Linked DNA regions of Arabidopsis thaliana. The protein of the gene in region 1 purifies or fractionates together with the protein of each later gene. This does not show direct contact. Each region holds a gene or a part of one and is shown in the gene's direction. Other genes may lie near its edges. The genes, in order: ASP2, PGM2 and MSD1.

Region 1 (6,908 bases):
TCTGGTTGAAAAATGGCGAAATATCTTCTCCACATCACACACTAGTTCTTCTTCTGCTCAATCTCAACTATCCCGTAAAACAAAAACGAGGGAGGAACCATGGCGGTGAGCTCATTCGCCGTCCTTCCTCCATTTGGTTCCTCATACAGCTCCACAACCGATAGATCTTCTTCTTCTTCGTTTTACTCATCTTCGAAACTTCTCCGCATATCTCAATACCGGTTCCAGTCAAATTCCCGTTGTCCAAATGTGTTCGTCTCGTGCTCACTGAATCAGCCTTCTGATGATGCTTCCGACGCCGCCCTTTTTCTCGAATCCAATTCAATTGCTGATTACATGCGGTTCAAACGCCGTCCCGACCCCGGAAATGGTACCAGCGAGTTGCAGACTGCAATCGTGAGTTACAAGAAACGTTTCCCTTGGATTCTTCTCAACCCTTTTCTTCAGGTTACATCACCATCTCTGTTACTTGCTGGGTTTCCATTTAAATCGATAAAGGTAACATTTTTATCGATTTCATCATCTCTATATTGCAGGTGGATTTGGTCTCAACTATTCATATTGCAGATAAAGAGTGAGTCTTTCTTCTATTGCTCGTAATTTGTTTATATCACTAGTGAGTTTGATTAAGTTTTAATTAGTTTCTTGTGTGGTGATATATGTGGATTGGGTTTGGGTGTGTAGGTACTTCACAACTCTTCAGAAGGAGCTTGAACCATATGATTCTATCTTGTATGAGATGGTGGCTAGTAAAGAGACCTTGGAAAACAGGAGAAACCCTATTGCATCTAAGAGGCTCAAGAGTTCTCGTTCAAGAGGTTTCAGTATTCTTGGGTTCATTCAGCGGCAGATGGCAAGAGTACTAACACTTGATTTTCAGCTAGATTGTCTAGATTACGATACTGAGAATTGGTACCATGCTGATCTCGATTTCGAGACATTCCAGTTGCTTCAGGTTTGTTTCCAAAGAACAGAAGTGCCTGTCTTTAGTTGTTGCTTGTTCTCTGTCATTTTTGAGTAATATTCTTTGGTTTCCGCATTGGCCTGTATCATGGTTGTATTATTTGGGAGTGAGAACTATCAGTTGAATGATGATTAAACCTGTATCATATTTGTTGCAGAAGGAGAAAGGAGAAAGCTTCTTCTCATTTGCCAGGGACATGACTATTAGATCAACAAAAGCAATGATACAGCCAGCTTTGGTAACTGAAGGTCGTGATACTTGGAGGTCAAAGCTTCTATGGGTTTCACGGGTTTTTCCTATGCCTCTTGTGGGTCTTTTCCTAATCGGGGCTTTTTGTGCTGACTTTGGAGATCAGACCTCAGACTATCCAGAATTAGAAGCACTTTCACGGCTTGACTTTGGAGCTGCTATGAAGGTTTTCCTTGCTAAGAGATTGACATCCGAGTAAGTCCGGTCTTGTTCATGATTCTGAAGTTGTTTTTCTTTTGCTGATCTAAACTTGGGATATGTGCTCTACTTGACACATTTCTTACCATTTGAATTGTGTATGTGCTTCAAAGATAGGGCAAGGCAGAGTAGTTTTTTTCTTATTTTCTTAGAACATGCAAATATATGTAAGGCTAGTAGGAAGTTAACTATTCTATTATTTTTTGTTGTTGTTGTGAAGGCTAACACTAGAGACATCAGATATAGAGGAAAAATCTGTCATCATTGGTGAGAGAAACCGAGCAGCTACGGAAGCTTTAAGAAGAGCAATAGAGCAAGGACACAAGAGAATTGGAATTCTATATGGCGGAGGCCACATGCCCGACCTGGGAAGACGACTGAGAGAAGAGTTTGATCTTGTTCCTTCAGAGGTAAGATGGGTAACAGCTTGGTCCATCAGAAATCCAACGGACTTGGAGACTAGTTCATATCCGATTCTGAGGAAAATGGCAGAGGCTTTGCGTTGGCCACTAAACCGGTACCAAACATTGGCATTGCTAATATTTTCATCTGTACTTGCACTGGATCTCTGCTTTTGGGAGCTCTTCTTTGGTTCGACAATTGACTGGGCTACCCAGATAGGTGCAGAGTTATACCAGTTTATAGATAATACAAAAATTGTATGACGCAGCACAGAATCATGTACAAACAGTGTCAAATACCTTTTACAGTGTCCCAAGTCTCTCTGTTGTAAAGCAAACATGGCTCTGATGTCAAAGAAATCTATTGAATAGGTAACTCTAGTTGTTTTTGGTTTGATGATAATGTTTTTATGAAGAAAAAAAAATTACTTAATAAATGGAAATTAGAATTCAGACAAAGAAAAACGACAAAAAAAAAAAAAGAAGTCAGACAAAGAAAAAAGGAATTGGAATATTTCTCGTATAAAAAAAAAATGTAAATAAAATTTCTCGACTTGTTGGGCAAGTTCAAGCATCGCCCACAGTTGCCAAATCGCAATATAGGCGCCCACAGCTAAAAGTTGATTCTCAAAACCTCTCTCTCTTTGTGAACAAGATTAAAAAGACGACTTCTCTTTTAACTTATTCCTCCTCTGCTTCTTCAAGATCCATTGTCTGCAATTTCAATCCCTTGTCTCGTCATGGATTCCGTCTTCTCTAACGTTGCTCGTGCTCCCGAAGATCCTATTCTCGGTGTATGTCGCTTCTCTGTTTGATCTCCTCTTACTTTTTTCGCGTTTTAGTTGATTTTTTATTCCGTCTTTGCTTCGATCTCACTCGGTTATCCGAAATCATGACGGTTATATCTGATTTTAGTGCGTCTCTACTTTTTTTCCGTCTGATCGGAGAGAGTTGGGATTTGATTTCTCTGTGTTTTACTCGATTTGGATATGATTCTTATTTGGCTACTGGGAATTAGAAGACATATGACTCTCGATGATCTACTGGCACAGTGAATATTATTAGTCTGTGTGATCAATGATTTGATTATTAGTTTTTAGTAACGTTTTTGAGAGTTAATGATTTGTTGAAAACAGGTAACTGTTGCTTACAACAATGATCCTAGTCCTGTTAAGATCAATTTGGGTGTCGGTGCCTACCGAACTGAGGTAATTTTTCGATTTCTGCTTAAACTGTTAAGCAACTTTATGGTATCAATTGTTTCTACTAGCCAGTTTTTGAAAGCTCAGGTTTTGATTAGTTTGTTTCTCTTTTTTTCAAAGGAAGGGAAGCCTCTTGTTCTTGATGTGGTGCGTAAGGCAGAGCAACAGCTAGTGAACGATCCGTGAGTTGAAGAACATTGTCACTAATTCGTGTAGTTGTCTCTTCTTATTCTTGTTTTTTGCTAATGCCTAAATTCTTTTCTCTACTTCTCTAAGGTCTCGGGTCAAGGAATACATTCCCATTGTTGGTATTTCCGATTTTAACAAGTTAAGCGCCAAGCTCATCTTAGGTGCTGACAGGTAATCATCTATACTGTTTATTTGTTATCTTTTCATTTGTGTTTTGCTTTGTTTCTCTTGTGACATAATATCCCCTTTAGTTGATAAAGTTTAATATTTTATAAATATTCTTGTTTTGTTGGCAGTCCTGCGATTACAGAAAGTAGAGTTACTACAGTCCAGTGCTTGTCTGGTACTGGTTCGTTGAGAGTTGGGGCTGAGTTTCTCAAAACACACTACCACCAAGTAAACTTCTCTCTATTTAGTTTTTTATTATATTTGACAGTCATTGAATTATGTAATCAAACAAGTGTTGCTTACTATGGTTCTCATCCTTCCAGAGTGTCATTTACATTCCAAAACCAACTTGGGGGAACCATCCCAAAGTTTTCAACTTGGCAGGCTTGTCTGTGGAGTATTTCCGCTACTATGATCCTGCAACCCGTGGTCTTGACTTCAAAGGTTGATTCTTAACTTTCCATTAATTTTTGTTTTCATCTTCATGTGGTTGCACTGACATTAATTTAGTCATGGTTATTGCTTGATTATCCATCTACTCTACTTTTCCTGTGTTTTCCTTGATATAACCACAATGAAATTATTTCTGTAAGTTTAATGATCGTATTTTGACAATTCTATGTTTGAAATTTGAGTAAGGAAAGAAATCTCAAGATTGCACTCTGTCAAAGTAAAATGGCATTTGATACAAACATTGACCTTTGATGCCAAAAAAACAGGCTTGCTCGAGGATCTTGGCGCTGCACCATCTGGAGCTATTGTCTTACTTCATGCATGTGCACACAATCCCACTGGAGTTGACCCAACCTCTGAACAGTGGGAACAGATTCGACAGCTGATGAGATCTAAAAGCTTATTACCCTTTTTTGATAGTGCATATCAGGTAGCACTCATAAAGGAAGTCTTGCTTTGTTGCTTTATTCAATGGTGGTTTACAAACAAATGAACCCCGTTATAGTGTATGCTTGAATCTTATCTAATGTAGAAAAATAGCAGCCTGACTCATTTTTCCTAACACTTTTGCAGGGTTTTGCTAGTGGTAGCCTTGACACAGATGCACAATCTGTCCGTACATTTGTTGCTGATGGCGGTGAATGCTTGATAGCTCAAAGTTACGCCAAAAATATGGGACTTTATGGGGAGCGTGTTGGTGCCCTTAGCATTGTAAGGAACCAAACTTCTCAATTTCTTATTCGCTTCTATTCATTTGACATTATGGTTAGTCAAAAAGTTCATCTAATGGATAGTACAAGAATACAGTATTCAAAAATTGCATCTAATCTGTGTGATATAATGTGAAGGTCTGCAAGTCAGCAGATGTGGCTAGTAAGGTTGAGAGCCAGGTGAAGCTTGTTGTGCGGCCCATGTATTCGAGCCCCCCTATTCATGGAGCATCAATTGTTGCCACCATTCTAAAAAGCAGGTACATGATTATCATGCTTTAGTTTACAATTACTTTGAATATATTATGTTGGAGAAGGAACCTTTAAACCGGAGTTAGTATAGTAAAATTACATTTTTAGATTATTACATACAAGATATATGTATACATTGAAAGCTGACATTAAAAATTAATAGGCAAGTGGAAAGAGAGATCCCTACTGATCTTCCATACGCAGTAATTTGATAGTTTATGCTGTGTTGAAATGGTTATGCCAAGTTTCTTTTTCTATGGAATCATGCATATATCACAAACATTTTCCTTTGCTTTATCAAGCTTATAATGAATATCTATGGAATTAGGTTCTGCTCTAAGTTTCTAAAATTTCTTTGTATATATTGGCAGTGATATGTACAACAACTGGACCATCGAGCTGAAAGAAATGGCTGACCGTATAAAGAGCATGCGCCAACAGTTATTTGAAGCTATACAAGCTAGAGGTTTATTATTAATTCCTTTCCTCTCTTATTTTTCACTCTGTTTATCTTCTTTTCCATGTTTGCAGAATCATTACTCTGCAGTTTTTTGTTCTTGACACGTTGTCTGGATTGCAGGTACACCTGGTGACTGGAGTCATATTATCAAACAGATTGGGATGTTTACATTTACTGGATTGAACAAGGAGCAAGTTGAATTCATGACCAAAGAGTTCCACATTTACATGACCTCTGATGGGTGAGTCAACTTATATTTTCTTTTCGATAATTTTAGGAATATGAGTGAGTTTGGTTTCTGCTATGCCTAAAACCATAAGTATATATGACATGAAGTATTTCTAAGAGGTCCTAAAATACTTTCGCCAAACTCTCTTAGTTGTAAGAGTATTAGCAGTAATAACCAGATATATATAGAACTAGATCCACAGGTTTCATTATGTTCTTCTTAGGCATGTGAACCAAGATAGTTGCTTTGATATTTTGAGAAAGTGAGATATGACATCATATTCTTGCTAGTGAAATTATAGTTGCATGAAGCAAAGGATATTAGAAAATACCAGATTTGTAAGTTTTCTGAGCTTCAAATTGAAAAAGGGTTACTTTGTTGTATTGCAGGAGAATAAGCATGGCAGGTCTAAGTTCGAAGACAGTGCCTCACCTTGCCGATGCTATGCATGCTGCAGTGACCCGCCTCGGCTAAACTAGCGACCATACATTTTTTTGCTGTTTCTACAAATAAAATGGGACAAAAAAAAAGAACACCGTTTTTGTTGGCTTATATACTATGGTTTTTTTCTGATGGTACCATATGTTTCCTCATGTCTTTTGACTAAAGATGGTTGAACCAAAACCAAAGTGAGGATTGTGACATTGAGATCTACCGTTTCTAAGAAAATATTGGTTACTTTAATTTGCCACCAACAATTGTTATTTTGCAGAATTTTCAAATGTCCTGTTATTTTATTTGCTGAGAGATCCTTATAGTTTGGTTCTCGCTGGAAAAAAATAAGTTTTGGGAAGTTTGGCACACCTAAGAAGAAGTATGATTTGTATTAGAAAAAAAAATACTTGTCGGAATACTCTCTAATTGGTCCATCTCTTAAAATATCACATAAACATAATTTTCAAATGAAGCAATCGATCGTTTGGAATTGTAAGGGACATATAGTGAACATGAAAGATAAGAAAATGTAAAACGGAATGAGGTTATATGGTTTTTTGTATTTAATTAGTTTTCTTTTGTTTCTTTAATGAAAACTTGTTTCAATGTGTCCATTTATAGGTAGACTCATTTGTTTAAGCCGCTTGATAAAAAAAAATGTCAATGCAATATTTATACATCAGTGAGTGGATGAGAAAATGGTCATAAACACCACTTTTCAAAGTGATAAATTACACGACGTGATTAAACGATTAAAGCAGTATTATAAGATATTGAAATCAAATCTTTTAAATTAGTAGGATAAACAGAAATGTTTAGACTTGGTAAAGAGTCGCCGTGTTACATGCCTCCATGCTACTGTTGCACTAACGAATTAGTCAAAATCTGATTTTAAAATTCGATTGTCTCTCTTTTTAAGTTATTAAGTTTGTAAATTCCAGCTATATTTGATCCATAGTCTTACTTAATTCGAGATCAGGCTTAAACAATAACGATCC
Region 2 (7,140 bases), on another chromosome or scaffold:
AAGCTCTTGGTTTATGAGTATGTCGTTAATGAGAGCCTCGACAAGGTCCTCTTCAGTAAGTTTTTCTTCTCAATGAGATTGGTTTGTATATTAGGATAAATGATATTGAAAGAAGATGGTTTTAACATGTAGTGGTTGCTTCATTTGAATGCAGAATCCAACAGAAAATCGGAGATAGATTGGAAGCAGAGGTTTGAGATCATAACAGGCATTGCTCGAGGACTGCTCTATCTACATGAAGACGCGCCAAACTGCATCATCCACAGGGATATTAAGGCTGGCAATATTTTGCTGGATGAAAAATGGGTTCCTAAGATTGCAGATTTTGGGATGGCTAGACTCTATCAGGAAGATGTAACACATGTCAACACTCGTGTTGCAGGAACCAAGTATGCTCTCTCTATTGTTTACCCTTAAAAAGCTCATTTACATATCTTCTTGTGTCATTTGAACTCTTTTTGTTTGTTGGTGTTTCATGGTAGAATGTTATTTAACGTCCATTGCTTCTTCTTTTCTTATGCGCAGTGGTTATATGGCGCCAGAGTACGTAATGCACGGGGTTCTATCGGTAAAGGCAGACGTATTCAGCTTTGGGGTTTTGGTTCTGGAGCTCGTAAGTGGACAGAAGAACTCGAGTTTTAGCATGAGACACCCTGACCAGACTCTTCTTGAATGGGTAAAGCCTCTAGTCTCATGCTCCATTGTTTATAGGGTTGTTGTGTGATGGCCTGACCCAGCCAATATTCTTCAGCGTAATATAACCAATGCTAAATTCTTTCTGAATGTGACACAGGCATTTAAGTTGTACAAGAAAGGCCGGACCATGGAGATACTAGACCAAGATATAGCAGCTTCAGCTGATCCAGATCAAGTCAAACTCTGTGTACAGATCGGACTACTCTGCGTTCAAGGCGATCCGCATCAAAGACCGAGCATGAGACGGGTATCTCTACTTCTCTCTAGAAAACCAGGACATCTAGAAGAACCGGATCATCCTGGTGTCCCGGGATCTAGATACCGTCGGCGAACACAACGTCCTTCAGGAGCAGCATCACTTGGAACATTGTCGACCACTGGTTCCAGCACAGATTCTTTCGGTTCAAACCTGAACACAAACACGGGAACTGGTGTTAGAGGTACCCCCGCATCTTCTAAAGCTTCAACTCGGAGTAATGCCACTAGAAGTGCTGGTCAGAGCTCTAGCTCAGACCCTCACGGGAAACGACATATGAGTTATTGAAGTACATAAAATCTGGTCATAGGTGATTGTAAATAGCGAGCTGCATATATAATATTTGTTTCATAATTTATTTAATTTTGCTTTTGAAAAGTAAATTAATTTATTTTTTTGACTGCAGTAGTGATTTAGTTTTGTAGTATGATTTGTTATATTAGCGGGAAAAAATTATGATTCATTTGTTACATTTGTATATTAGAATAATCACTTGTAGTCCCATTATCTAGGTCCCCACTATTGGCCTCGTACGTATAAAAGCATATTCTCTTGTACGTATTAACGGTACCTTACTTTAAACAAAACATAAAACTAAAATGTTTTTTATGCGTTTTAAATTATTTTTCAGTTAAAATTTATAAAAAGGGTTTTTGTAAACAATTATTTTGATAGTAAAAGAAATACTAACTGAAATTAGTGGAGAAAATACACAAACATATATTTAACTTTCTTTAATTTAAAATATACAGATTTTGTTTCTTTAATTTTTTTTTTCAAATTTTAGTTTTCATTTATTTTTAAATAAAGTATGACATGTCATAATGTTGTATTTTGATTTGTCATTAAAAAGGGGGTGAATCAAATTGGTTCACTCTAGAGGTGAACTTCGCCAAAGAATCACAGACCGTCAGTGTTAATCATCAGAGACATCAACGTAATGTTCCTCTTGGTTACTTCTTGCTTTAATGTTCCTCTTGGTTACTTCTTGCTTTCTACCTGATTCAGGTTCTTCAGTTAAAGTTTCTCTTTTCATTTTTGGGGTAATGCCCGGTTGGGCCTCGTTGTTTTATTTAGGTTCTAGTTCTAGGGCCTGCGTGTCCTTTTAGGCAGTTATTGCCATGTATGTTCTTTGGGCCATTCGTGCCTCTGTCGGCTTGTTGGGCCTTGTAATCGTTTCGGCTCTATTGGAAATTAAAAATAAAATATATATACTAACCCGTTTTGGGTAAAAAGTTAGGTCCACTAAAAGACGAAAAGAGATCCTACCAAAAAAAAAAACGAAAAGAGACGAGCCACACGCGTCACCTTCTCGTTTAGCCTCTTCATCTCCTTTCCTCAGACTCACTGTGTAAAAAGGCTTTTATTTTATCATCTTCAGGCTTATTCGATTTTCTTCAGATTTGAAATGGTGTCGTTCAAGGTCTCTCTCGTCTCTACTTCGCCTATTGATGGCCAGAAACCTGGGACTTCTGGACTCCGTAAGAAGGTTCGTTCGCTTTCGCTTCTTCTCCTTGTTATATCAATCCCCGCGTTCTTATTTCGAAATTGGATTAGAGATTTGAATTCTAAATTCAGATCTTCGCAACGAAATTGATTTCTTCATTTAGTTCCGATCTTATGGATTGAATGAATTTTGTGTGTTGGTTTTAACAATTTGATCCGATCCGATGAGATTTGAATTTACGCATTGTTTCGTAATTTTACAGGTGAAAGTGTTTAAGCAACCAAATTACCTTGAAAATTTTGTCCAGGCAACGTTCAATGCTCTTACTACAGAGAAAGTTAAAGGTAAAGATCTCTCTTACCTCTCTTTGATTGTTGTTCAGGTAAAGGTCGATGATTGCAAATTCCATCTAAGAAAGAGTATTTGTTAACTTTTTCAGGTGCGACACTTGTGGTTTCTGGTGATGGTCGTTATTATTCAGAGCAAGCTATTCAGGTAAAAGCTTTATATGTCCTTTGAATGATGGCAAACTGCGTTTTGCATTAACTTATAATTCTTAGACACTTTACTCTTATTTTAGTTGTTTTGAATCTTTTATTTCATAAAAAAGATAGTTCGTCAATACCACTTTATTTCCTATCTGGACAGATTATAGTAAAGATGGCAGCAGCTAATGGTGTTAGACGTGTGTGGGTTGGTCAAAACAGTCTGCTATCAACTCCTGCAGTATCAGCTATTATTCGTGAAAGAGTAGGGGCTGATGTGAGATATCTTCCTCTAAACTCATACTACTTACTTTTCTCTTGGGTTGTTATCTAAGGCTATGCATGTTTGCAACATGTAATGACGTGATGAGAAACTAACCCGAGATCCAATTTCAGGGATCTAAAGCCACAGGAGCATTTATCTTAACAGCAAGTCATAATCCTGGTGGCCCAACTGAGGTCAGTTCTCTTTTTGTTCTCACTCTTTTGTGCTTGTTCATTCGATACCCTCACTTAGTATTATTTGAATCCTAGCATCAGTTTTGTTAAACTATATGTTCATCTCTCTGCTTCCATATGCTGATTTCCTGCTATTCTATTCACAGGATTTCGGAATTAAGTACAATATGGAAAATGGTGGACCAGCTCCTGAATCAATCACTGATAAGATTTACGAGAACACAAAGACAATCAAGGAGTACCCAATAGCGGAAGATCTACCCAGGGTACCTAACATTTCTGATCTTATTACCTGTCATCATCTTTTTTTCATCTTGTATTTGTACTAATCATGTTTTTTTGCTGGTCTTTTTGATTGAATGCAACAGGTTGATATTTCTACTATTGGTATAACCAGCTTTGAAGGACCTGAAGGAAAGTTTGACGTCGAAGTTTTTGATTCTGCAGATGACTATGTTAAACTAATGAAGTAAGTCTTTCCATCTTTGTATCTGAGAGAACAGTTCTTGAATCTACTCCCTCTATGGTCTATGCATTTAAGAGAATGGTTCCAGAATCTGCGGTATCGATGATCTAAAAGATTTGTTCGTCTCTTCAGGTCAATCTTCGACTTTGAATCCATCAAGAAATTGCTATCTTATCCAAAATTTACTTTCTGGTATATAGTTCATCAACATCCATAAATCTTTTCTTTTGAGTTTGTTTGCTTGTATAGGCTCCATCATGTCTTTGATATTTTATTTCCCATCGTTCTATGAAGCTATGATGCATTGCATGGAGTGGCTGGAGCATATGCACATCGCATCTTTGTCGAAGAACTAGGTGCACCAGAAAGTTCGTTGTTGAACTGCGTACCCAAGGTATCATTTTTTTCTTCTTTCTTATTTTGTATAACCAAGAAATATCATTTCCTGAAAGGATTATAAATACACGTTGAACAGTGTCTTTTATGATTTATAACAACACGACAATCGGACAATGTACAGGAGGACTTTGGAGGGGGCCACCCGGATCCCAATCTTACCTATGCTAAGGAGCTCGTGGCACGCATGGGATTGAGTAAAACTGATGATGCTGGTGGCGAGCCTCCAGAGTTTGGCGCCGCTGCTGATGGTGATGCAGACCGAAACATGATCCTCGGTAAAAGGTAGCAGAGACTAATTCTCTTTTAAGTGAGATCACAGAGATGTGGAGCGGATATACCACTCTCCCCGTTAACCAAAAATATCTCTTCTCCGCAGGTTTTTCGTAACTCCTTCGGATTCAGTTGCTATAATTGCTGCAAATGCTGTTGGGGCCATACCATACTTCAGCTCTGGTTTAAAAGGTGTTGCTAGGTATGCATCCCGGTTCTTCTTTGTTTACTCCAGTTCATAGATTGAAAACGCTGGACTTTGGTGTCATACGTTTTTGTTTATTATAGATAGTAACAATCTTTTCTCATTAAATTCTCAACTTTCACATTCGTATTGCAGGAGCATGCCGACCTCAGCTGCACTTGATGTCGTTGCAAAAAACTTGGGTTTGAAGTTCTTTGAGGTAGATGTCATTGTGAAGCTTTTCTCTAGCTTCTATTCATTGCAATCACGTAACATAGTCTATTGCTCTAATACTTCTATATTTTAGGTTCCAACAGGCTGGAAATTCTTTGGCAATCTAATGGATGCTGGGATGTGCTCTGTATGCGGAGAAGAAAGTTTTGGAACCGGTGAGCTTCTATTGCTAGATCTTCACATGTTTTAAAACCGTAACAACCCTACACAACTCACAAAGAAGCTTTTCGACAGGTTCGGATCATATCCGTGAGAAAGATGGGATCTGGGCAGTTCTTGCTTGGCTATCAATACTGGCTCACAAGAACAAGGAAACCCTTGATGGGAATGCAAAACTGGTGACGGTTGAAGACATTGTCCGCCAGCACTGGGCTACATATGGCCGTCACTATTACACTCGATACGACTATGAGGTAAAACTGACAAATGTCATTATTGGTTGTAGACAATATGTAGAATAACCAATTACCTTTGACCAATTTCTAAATATTTGCTCCATAGAACGTAGACGCAACTGCAGCTAAAGAACTCATGGGACTTTTGGTTAAGTTGCAATCTTCACTTCCCGAAGTCAACAAGTATCTCTCTCTCCACTTAATTTCAAATCCATTCCTTTTTACTTGTATGACTTTCAGACTCACGTTTTTGGATAATTGGTCAGGATTATAAAGGGAATTCATCCAGAGGTGGCAAATGTTGCAAGCGCAGATGAGTTCGAGTACAAAGATCCAGTAGATGGCTCTGTTTCAAAGCACCAAGGGATCCGATACTTATTCGAGGATGGATCACGACTTGTAAGTCGATATGTGTGAAATGGATTCATAACAATTCAACAACCTGTGAAATTGTAAAAGCTAATCCGGGCTTGTTTCTCTTGTTCATGAAGGTGTTCCGTCTCTCGGGAACTGGCTCAGAAGGAGCAACAATAAGGCTATACATTGAACAATACGAGAAGGACGCCTCAAAGATCGGCCGAGATTCTCAGGATGCTCTTGGTCCCCTGGTCAGATTCCCAGATACCTTAATTACTCCCAAATTTACGCATAATCGATCTTTGTCATGTTTATTAACACCAATTGTTGGTGTCTGATTTTCACAGGTTGATGTTGCATTAAAGCTGTCGAAAATGCAAGAGTTCACCGGCCGATCATCACCAACTGTTATTACATAAGACAGCTTTCAGAAGACGCTGTCTCCAATACTACTCTCATTCCAACTTCATTTCTTATGAATTTGGGTTTTGCTTTTTTCCTGTTATCTGTTATCTTACACAAGTATACTTCAATACATATAATTTTAATGGAATATACATTAGGTTGGCAATTGAATTTCTAGCTTTGTTTGGCTCCTCCAAATAAAAAAGAATTGCCACAATATTGGAGCATGTGTGGCAGATGGAGACGTAGCAAGAGTAAAAAGCGAATCCAACAATAACTGATACCTAAAACCTACGGTGTACAACTATAGATAATGGACCCGAGAGGTGGTGATGACAAGCCAGAAGACAGATGTTTATAATTTGTCTCTTGAGCTTGACCAACAAAAACATTCTGACAGTTAAAAGCTAATGTTGGGCATGAATTTCGTGAATCAGATTGTGCCATGTGTTAGTTTGTATAAGTGAGTCAGGGTTCACGGGTTCTTTCTTATTTGGTTTTTAAATCCAAAAGAAAGAGAGGCATCATTACCATCCAAACACTCCTCCCACTTTAGGCTTTCTTCCTCTGTCCTTTCTCCATATTTGTTGTCTTCTACTAAACTTTTGTCTCAACAATGACTGATGCTTTAGCTAACCATCAACATTGTAACATACAGTTGATGGTTAGCTATTTGCTATACATTTGTCTATTTCTCTTGCTTCTATAGTCAAAGTATAGAGTTAGCTCGTATAAAAAGATCAGCATTTAAGTATAAAAAAAATTAGAATGATTTTATGTATAGTATTGTCTAACTTTAGGTGAAATCACAACTGATTATAGAATCCTCGAAGAAAAATATTAAAAAATCAAAAGGCTTAATATTAGCATTTTCTTATGCAGAAATGCTTAATTAATCAAAATAAGTCTTTTCACGTAATTGATTCATGTAACTATAGTAAATTGTTGATAGACTTTACTCTTTAGCAGTGTTCTTTATGGTATCACAGTTACAAATACAAAAAGATTGATTGAGTTGGCTCTTTTGTCCGTATTAGTTCATACTTGTAAAAAAAAACTACAATGTACATATATGATTACAAGACTT
Region 3 (4,466 bases), on another chromosome or scaffold:
GTGGTGAGACAACCGCCTGTGAATCGTCCCGCAACACTTGTCTACTTTGCTTTGATATTTACTGTACAAAGCCGGTATTGTTACAGATAGGATGGTCCCTGTTCACACCATAAAAAGTATAAACTTCATATAAGAATTTGGTTCACTGAGTTTAAAACAACAATGTCGCAGGAACTAAAACGAGATCAACAAGCCAACGTGGGGGATGAAACTGAAGGATCAAAAAACATAGAAGCTTTTTCCTTTCATTTGCATTTAAGGATCAAGTTACTAACCGATGTAAAGAAGAGTGCAGAGAGATATATAGCTACCAATGGCAGAGAGAAGCCACAGACAAATCACCACCTGCTAAAGAAAAATCGTCAGACCAACAGTTCAGATGCTTAACGGTTCCCATGTCATTTCACTCAACATCATCGTGAGTTTCTGAATGGGTTAGCTTCATAACCTTGAAGAAGAGTCGAAAATCGTTGCCAACTGTGACATCATGAGCCATTACAAGCAAGTGATTGAGTTTTATACGGAAAGAAGCTGCAGCACTATTCACCATTTCCTCTGATAGAACAAGCTCTGGCAACGAATGCAACTGTCTGCTTATAAAGAGATAACAGGTAGAAATCATCACTAATCAGTCACATAACAGCAAAGAATTAAGAAAAAGAAGACTAGTGAAAAGTAGAGCGCACCTATTCCTAAAAGCAGAAACCCGGGCATGAACGAATGATATCATGATCACGATGAGTAAGACATCCGAAGAAACAGATAAGAAAGGCAACCCGGAAAACTCGAATATAAGCCAGGCTACAGTTGATATAATGATAACCCCCAAAGAAAGATGTCGCCTCCTCCATAAGAGCAAGTCAGCAGCTACATCAAAGAACAAAGCCATACAAAAATCACAAACAGTAGCTTTTTGCTGGACCTATGAACTCATCATGCGTATCCAGAGATTTGAATCAATCAATTTCTCATTCAAAATCAAACCTAAACCTAACTTTCACCTGCCAAGTTTTCCATTTTCTACTATACCCAAAATGCTAAATGTACTTACACACATGACGATTTTCACAACCAACCAAAATCAGAAACCCTAACTATTCCAACTATCATCCCCAATTTGAATTTTCTGTTCTGTAAATCCGAGAAAATTCTCATCACAAACTACCAAAATGATGAAAAAACACAAATTCTGGAAAAAAGAACTCGCCTTTGCCACCACCCATGAACTGATGAACCGTAATCTGCCGACCCAACAATCGATAATCCGATGACGATCCTCCTTCATTTCTTCCATCGAAATCACCATCGATATCACTTAAACTATCCATCGGAGAATTAAAAAAAAAAAACCGAATTTACACAAATTCTCCGACTTCCAGGTTCCTATTTCGATCTCGCCGACTCCGATTTGAAATTTACCTTAAAGATACGATCTCAGTACAATGGTTTGTGAAAGCAGCTAGATTGATGGGAGAATGACAGCGATTGGGTGGATTATCAAGGAGGAACCAAATAGAATTGGCTTTCACATGCATCCAACAAATTCAACATTTGGAAATTCTCCGTTTCTAGTCAACTTTCTTCATTTCTTTATTTTTTTCCTGTGAACAAACAAAAAAGTAACATTTAGCCGTCACAAAATATTAAAAATTACGCTTTATTATATTAAGGCCTTGGGCTCACTAATCCAATATTACGGCCCATAAATAAAAATCACATGTCTACGTGTCAAAACAGTCACTTTTCTCTATACATGACAGGCAGTGATATTATCATAACCCTCCACTTATACACATGTTCATTTTTGGCGACCACTAGAAGGAGAAACAAATCTTCATTCCAACAATGGCGATTCGTTGTGTAGCGAGTAGAAAAACCCTAGCCGGCTTGAAGGAGACATCATCGAGGCTATTGAGGATCAGAGGGATTCAGACTTTTACGCTTCCTGATCTTCCTTACGATTATGGCGCATTGGAACCGGCCATTAGTGGAGAGATCATGCAGATTCATCACCAGAAGCATCACCAGGCTTATGTTACTAATTACAATAATGCTCTTGAGCAGCTTGATCAAGCTGTGAACAAGGGAGATGCTTCCACTGTTGTTAAGTTGCAGAGCGCCATCAAATTCAACGGCGGAGGTGTGTTTGTGTGTCTGACTCTCTTTTTTTTTTTTTTTTACGATCTCGATTTCTATGTGTTTGATCGATTGGTTTGTGTTTAGATCGTGTTTGGATGATATTAGCAAATGAAGTAGTTGATTTAGGAGAGAAATTTGGTTTGAACAGTGAAGCTGATGAGTAATTTTGATGAATTGGGATGAAACTTCTGTAAGAATCAATGAAACTTTTATCGGTAATGCAAGCTTTCTTAGATAGCTACTTTTGTTTGCTGGGTCTTGAGATCATAACCAGTTGATTTAGTATAGAACTTTTGTTAGGAACATTGAAGCTGTTGATTAATTTTGATGACTATAGTTTGGTATTAGGATTGTTGCTTCTTGAGCTCCGGACCGGTTGGATTGATAGAAGAGAAATTGGCAGAGAAACTATTGGAAATAAATTGAGTTTTTTGTGTGCTAGAGAATGGGAATTGATCGACTTTATTTCTAACGTGCAGGTCATGTCAACCATTCGATTTTCTGGAAGAACCTTGCTCCTTCCAGTGTGAGCTTGTGTTTTGAGTTTCTGTGTATTTCTTCGATTTTGTTGTTCTGTAATTGATGGTTTGTTTTAATGTATAACAGGAAGGTGGTGGAGAGCCACCAAAAGGATCTCTTGGTAGTGCCATTGACGCTCACTTTGGCTCCCTTGAAGGTCTGGTGAAAAAGATGAGTGCTGAGGGTGCTGCAGTGCAAGGCTCAGGATGGGTGGTCTGTAGTCTAGTTTCACCTTTTTATTTCATCTGCTCACATTGTCGACTCTGGTGCTTTACGTATAATAACCATGGTCCTTGATTCGCTTGTTTCTGTTGATTAATTCAGTGGCTCGGACTAGACAAAGAACTGAAGAAGCTAGTTGTTGACACAACTGCCAATCAGGTAACTTATCCATGATCAGGAATGCGCTATTGAATATGTTCAAAAGATTTCTTGGTACTCATGAACATCTGTGAGAATAATGGGTTTTAAAGAAAAAGAGTTTGTTTCGGTTGGTGCAGGATCCATTAGTGACAAAAGGAGGAAGCTTGGTACCTCTGGTGGGTATAGATGTTTGGGAGCACGCCTACTACTTGCAGGTAACAACACTTTTGATACCTTAAGTCTCATGAGTTAGCTTAAAAGATTAAGCTCTCTAATCAATCTGTATTCTCTCATTCAGTACAAAAATGTGAGGCCTGAGTATCTGAAGAATGTATGGAAAGTGATCAACTGGAAATATGCAAGCGAGGTTTATGAGAAGGAAAACAACTGAATCGTTTACACGATGACATAAGGAGATGAACCAGTTCCAGCTCAGCTTTTGTTTTAAGGTTGTCTGAAACAAACTTACAGTGTCTCTTTGGTTTTTAAGATTTGCTCAACTCAGCTGTGTGGTACGTTGTTTTACAATGAAAGTTTTCAAGAATAAAAATTTGCTATTATTGTCAGAAAGCGCTATTGTTTATTCTACGAAGAAAACAAAACGGAATCTTATTGGTATAATAATTACCTCATTTCAATAAAACAATAACTAATTTTCTCGTTTTTCACTACTCGACACATATATGACAGGAATATTATAACGAAGAAATTTGGGATTAATGAAATTTGTGAAATAATGCATACACACTTGTGTAATAAAAATGCATTATCTTTGTGTCTGCGTTGTGGAAAATGGATCATAGTCAAGTCTCATAAAAAACGCGTTCAATTCAATTTATACATATTTCGCCTAACTTTTGATTCTTTACGCCTTGGCCCCATTCTTATCTTTTAATTTTATCTCTTTCTTGGAAGTTACCCAAACACTAATACAATGTCAATTCAAATGGTATCCTTGACTCTTTTATGCGTTTAACTTAAAAGACTTTCTTAGTCTAAATAAAATTGATACATAATCATAGAAATTAAAAAGCTGATTAACGTTTATCAAAGAAATATTGATGAAACGATACAAGATGATAGTCTAAGTCTTGATCATTTCGACTTACATTACCAAATAAAATCCTCATTTTTCCTAAACTTCTACTGTAAATTTCTGTAATACATGTAACATTTACAATAATCTCTATTTGAAAACGAAAAATCAAAGAATCTCTAAAGAACAAAAAAAGAAAGAAGTAAGAATTAGGACAGAAAACTCTAGAAAGAATAGTGCTAAGTCTTGACGTCGTTAGTTTTCTTGCTGGGTCCAGACCCCGGACGACTCCCTTTCGGAAGAGCATTCAACACCAAGGACCCGAACTTTCCGGCGACAACTTCAGGAACAAAAGAAGAATATTCCGTCTTGGTCTCCTGCTCGCCTCCGCAACCAACCACCGCCGACT

The links.
Region 2: the proteins of ASP2 (region 1) and PGM2 fractionate together in Arabidopsis thaliana (co-fractionation; one large-scale study listed by BioGRID). This does not show direct contact.
Region 3: the proteins of ASP2 (region 1) and MSD1 fractionate together in Arabidopsis thaliana (co-fractionation; one large-scale study listed by BioGRID). This does not show direct contact.

The regions. Positions count from the first base shown.
Region 1 is NC_003076.8:6,595,649-6,602,556, forward strand, and holds ASP2 (aspartate aminotransferase 2), read left to right. Parts: upstream 1-2,322; 5' UTR 2,323-2,552; coding exon 2,553-2,606; intron 2,607-2,948; coding exon 2,949-3,020; intron 3,021-3,134; coding exon 3,135-3,196; intron 3,197-3,290; coding exon 3,291-3,374; intron 3,375-3,499; coding exon 3,500-3,599; intron 3,600-3,694; coding exon 3,695-3,815; intron 3,816-4,090; coding exon 4,091-4,254; intron 4,255-4,397; coding exon 4,398-4,535; intron 4,536-4,672; coding exon 4,673-4,794; intron 4,795-5,157; coding exon 5,158-5,252; intron 5,253-5,366; coding exon 5,367-5,487; intron 5,488-5,864; coding exon 5,865-5,949; 3' UTR 5,950-6,323; downstream 6,324-6,908. Other genes in the region: AT5G19540 (thermosome subunit gamma), read left to right, coding at 100-447, 537-574, 685-955, 1,122-1,408, 1,632-2,076.
Region 2 is NC_003070.9:26,667,947-26,675,086, reverse strand, and holds PGM2 (Phosphoglucomutase/phosphomannomutase family protein), read left to right. Parts: upstream 1-1,920; coding exon 1,921-1,995; intron 1,996-2,204; coding exon 2,205-2,441; intron 2,442-2,661; coding exon 2,662-2,743; intron 2,744-2,838; coding exon 2,839-2,894; intron 2,895-3,047; coding exon 3,048-3,161; intron 3,162-3,280; coding exon 3,281-3,343; intron 3,344-3,489; coding exon 3,490-3,609; intron 3,610-3,711; coding exon 3,712-3,812; intron 3,813-3,941; coding exon 3,942-4,001; intron 4,002-4,103; coding exon 4,104-4,203; intron 4,204-4,329; coding exon 4,330-4,490; intron 4,491-4,584; coding exon 4,585-4,680; intron 4,681-4,818; coding exon 4,819-4,882; intron 4,883-4,969; coding exon 4,970-5,051; intron 5,052-5,130; coding exon 5,131-5,309; intron 5,310-5,397; coding exon 5,398-5,474; intron 5,475-5,557; coding exon 5,558-5,690; intron 5,691-5,782; coding exon 5,783-5,899; intron 5,900-5,995; coding exon 5,996-6,067; 3' UTR 6,068-6,441; downstream 6,442-7,140. Other genes in the region: AT1G70740 (Protein kinase superfamily protein), read left to right, coding at 1-55, 155-389, 526-712, 794-1,240. UniProt on the Arabidopsis thaliana protein: Catalyzes the reversible isomerization of alpha-D-glucose 1-phosphate to alpha-D-glucose 6-phosphate. The mechanism proceeds via the intermediate compound alpha-D-glucose 1,6-bisphosphate.
Region 3 is NC_003074.8:3,416,170-3,420,635, forward strand, and holds MSD1 (manganese superoxide dismutase 1), read left to right. Parts: upstream 1-1,770; 5' UTR 1,771-1,845; coding exon 1,846-2,140; intron 2,141-2,618; coding exon 2,619-2,665; intron 2,666-2,745; coding exon 2,746-2,871; intron 2,872-2,982; coding exon 2,983-3,039; intron 3,040-3,158; coding exon 3,159-3,236; intron 3,237-3,319; coding exon 3,320-3,412; 3' UTR 3,413-3,723; downstream 3,724-4,466. Other genes in the region: AT3G10915 (Reticulon family protein), read right to left, coding at 1-98, 276-345, 449-590, 687-867, 1,208-1,287, 1,420-1,535; AT3G10930 (uncharacterized protein), read right to left, coding at 4,059-4,364. UniProt on the Arabidopsis thaliana protein: Destroys superoxide anion radicals which are normally produced within the cells and which are toxic to biological systems.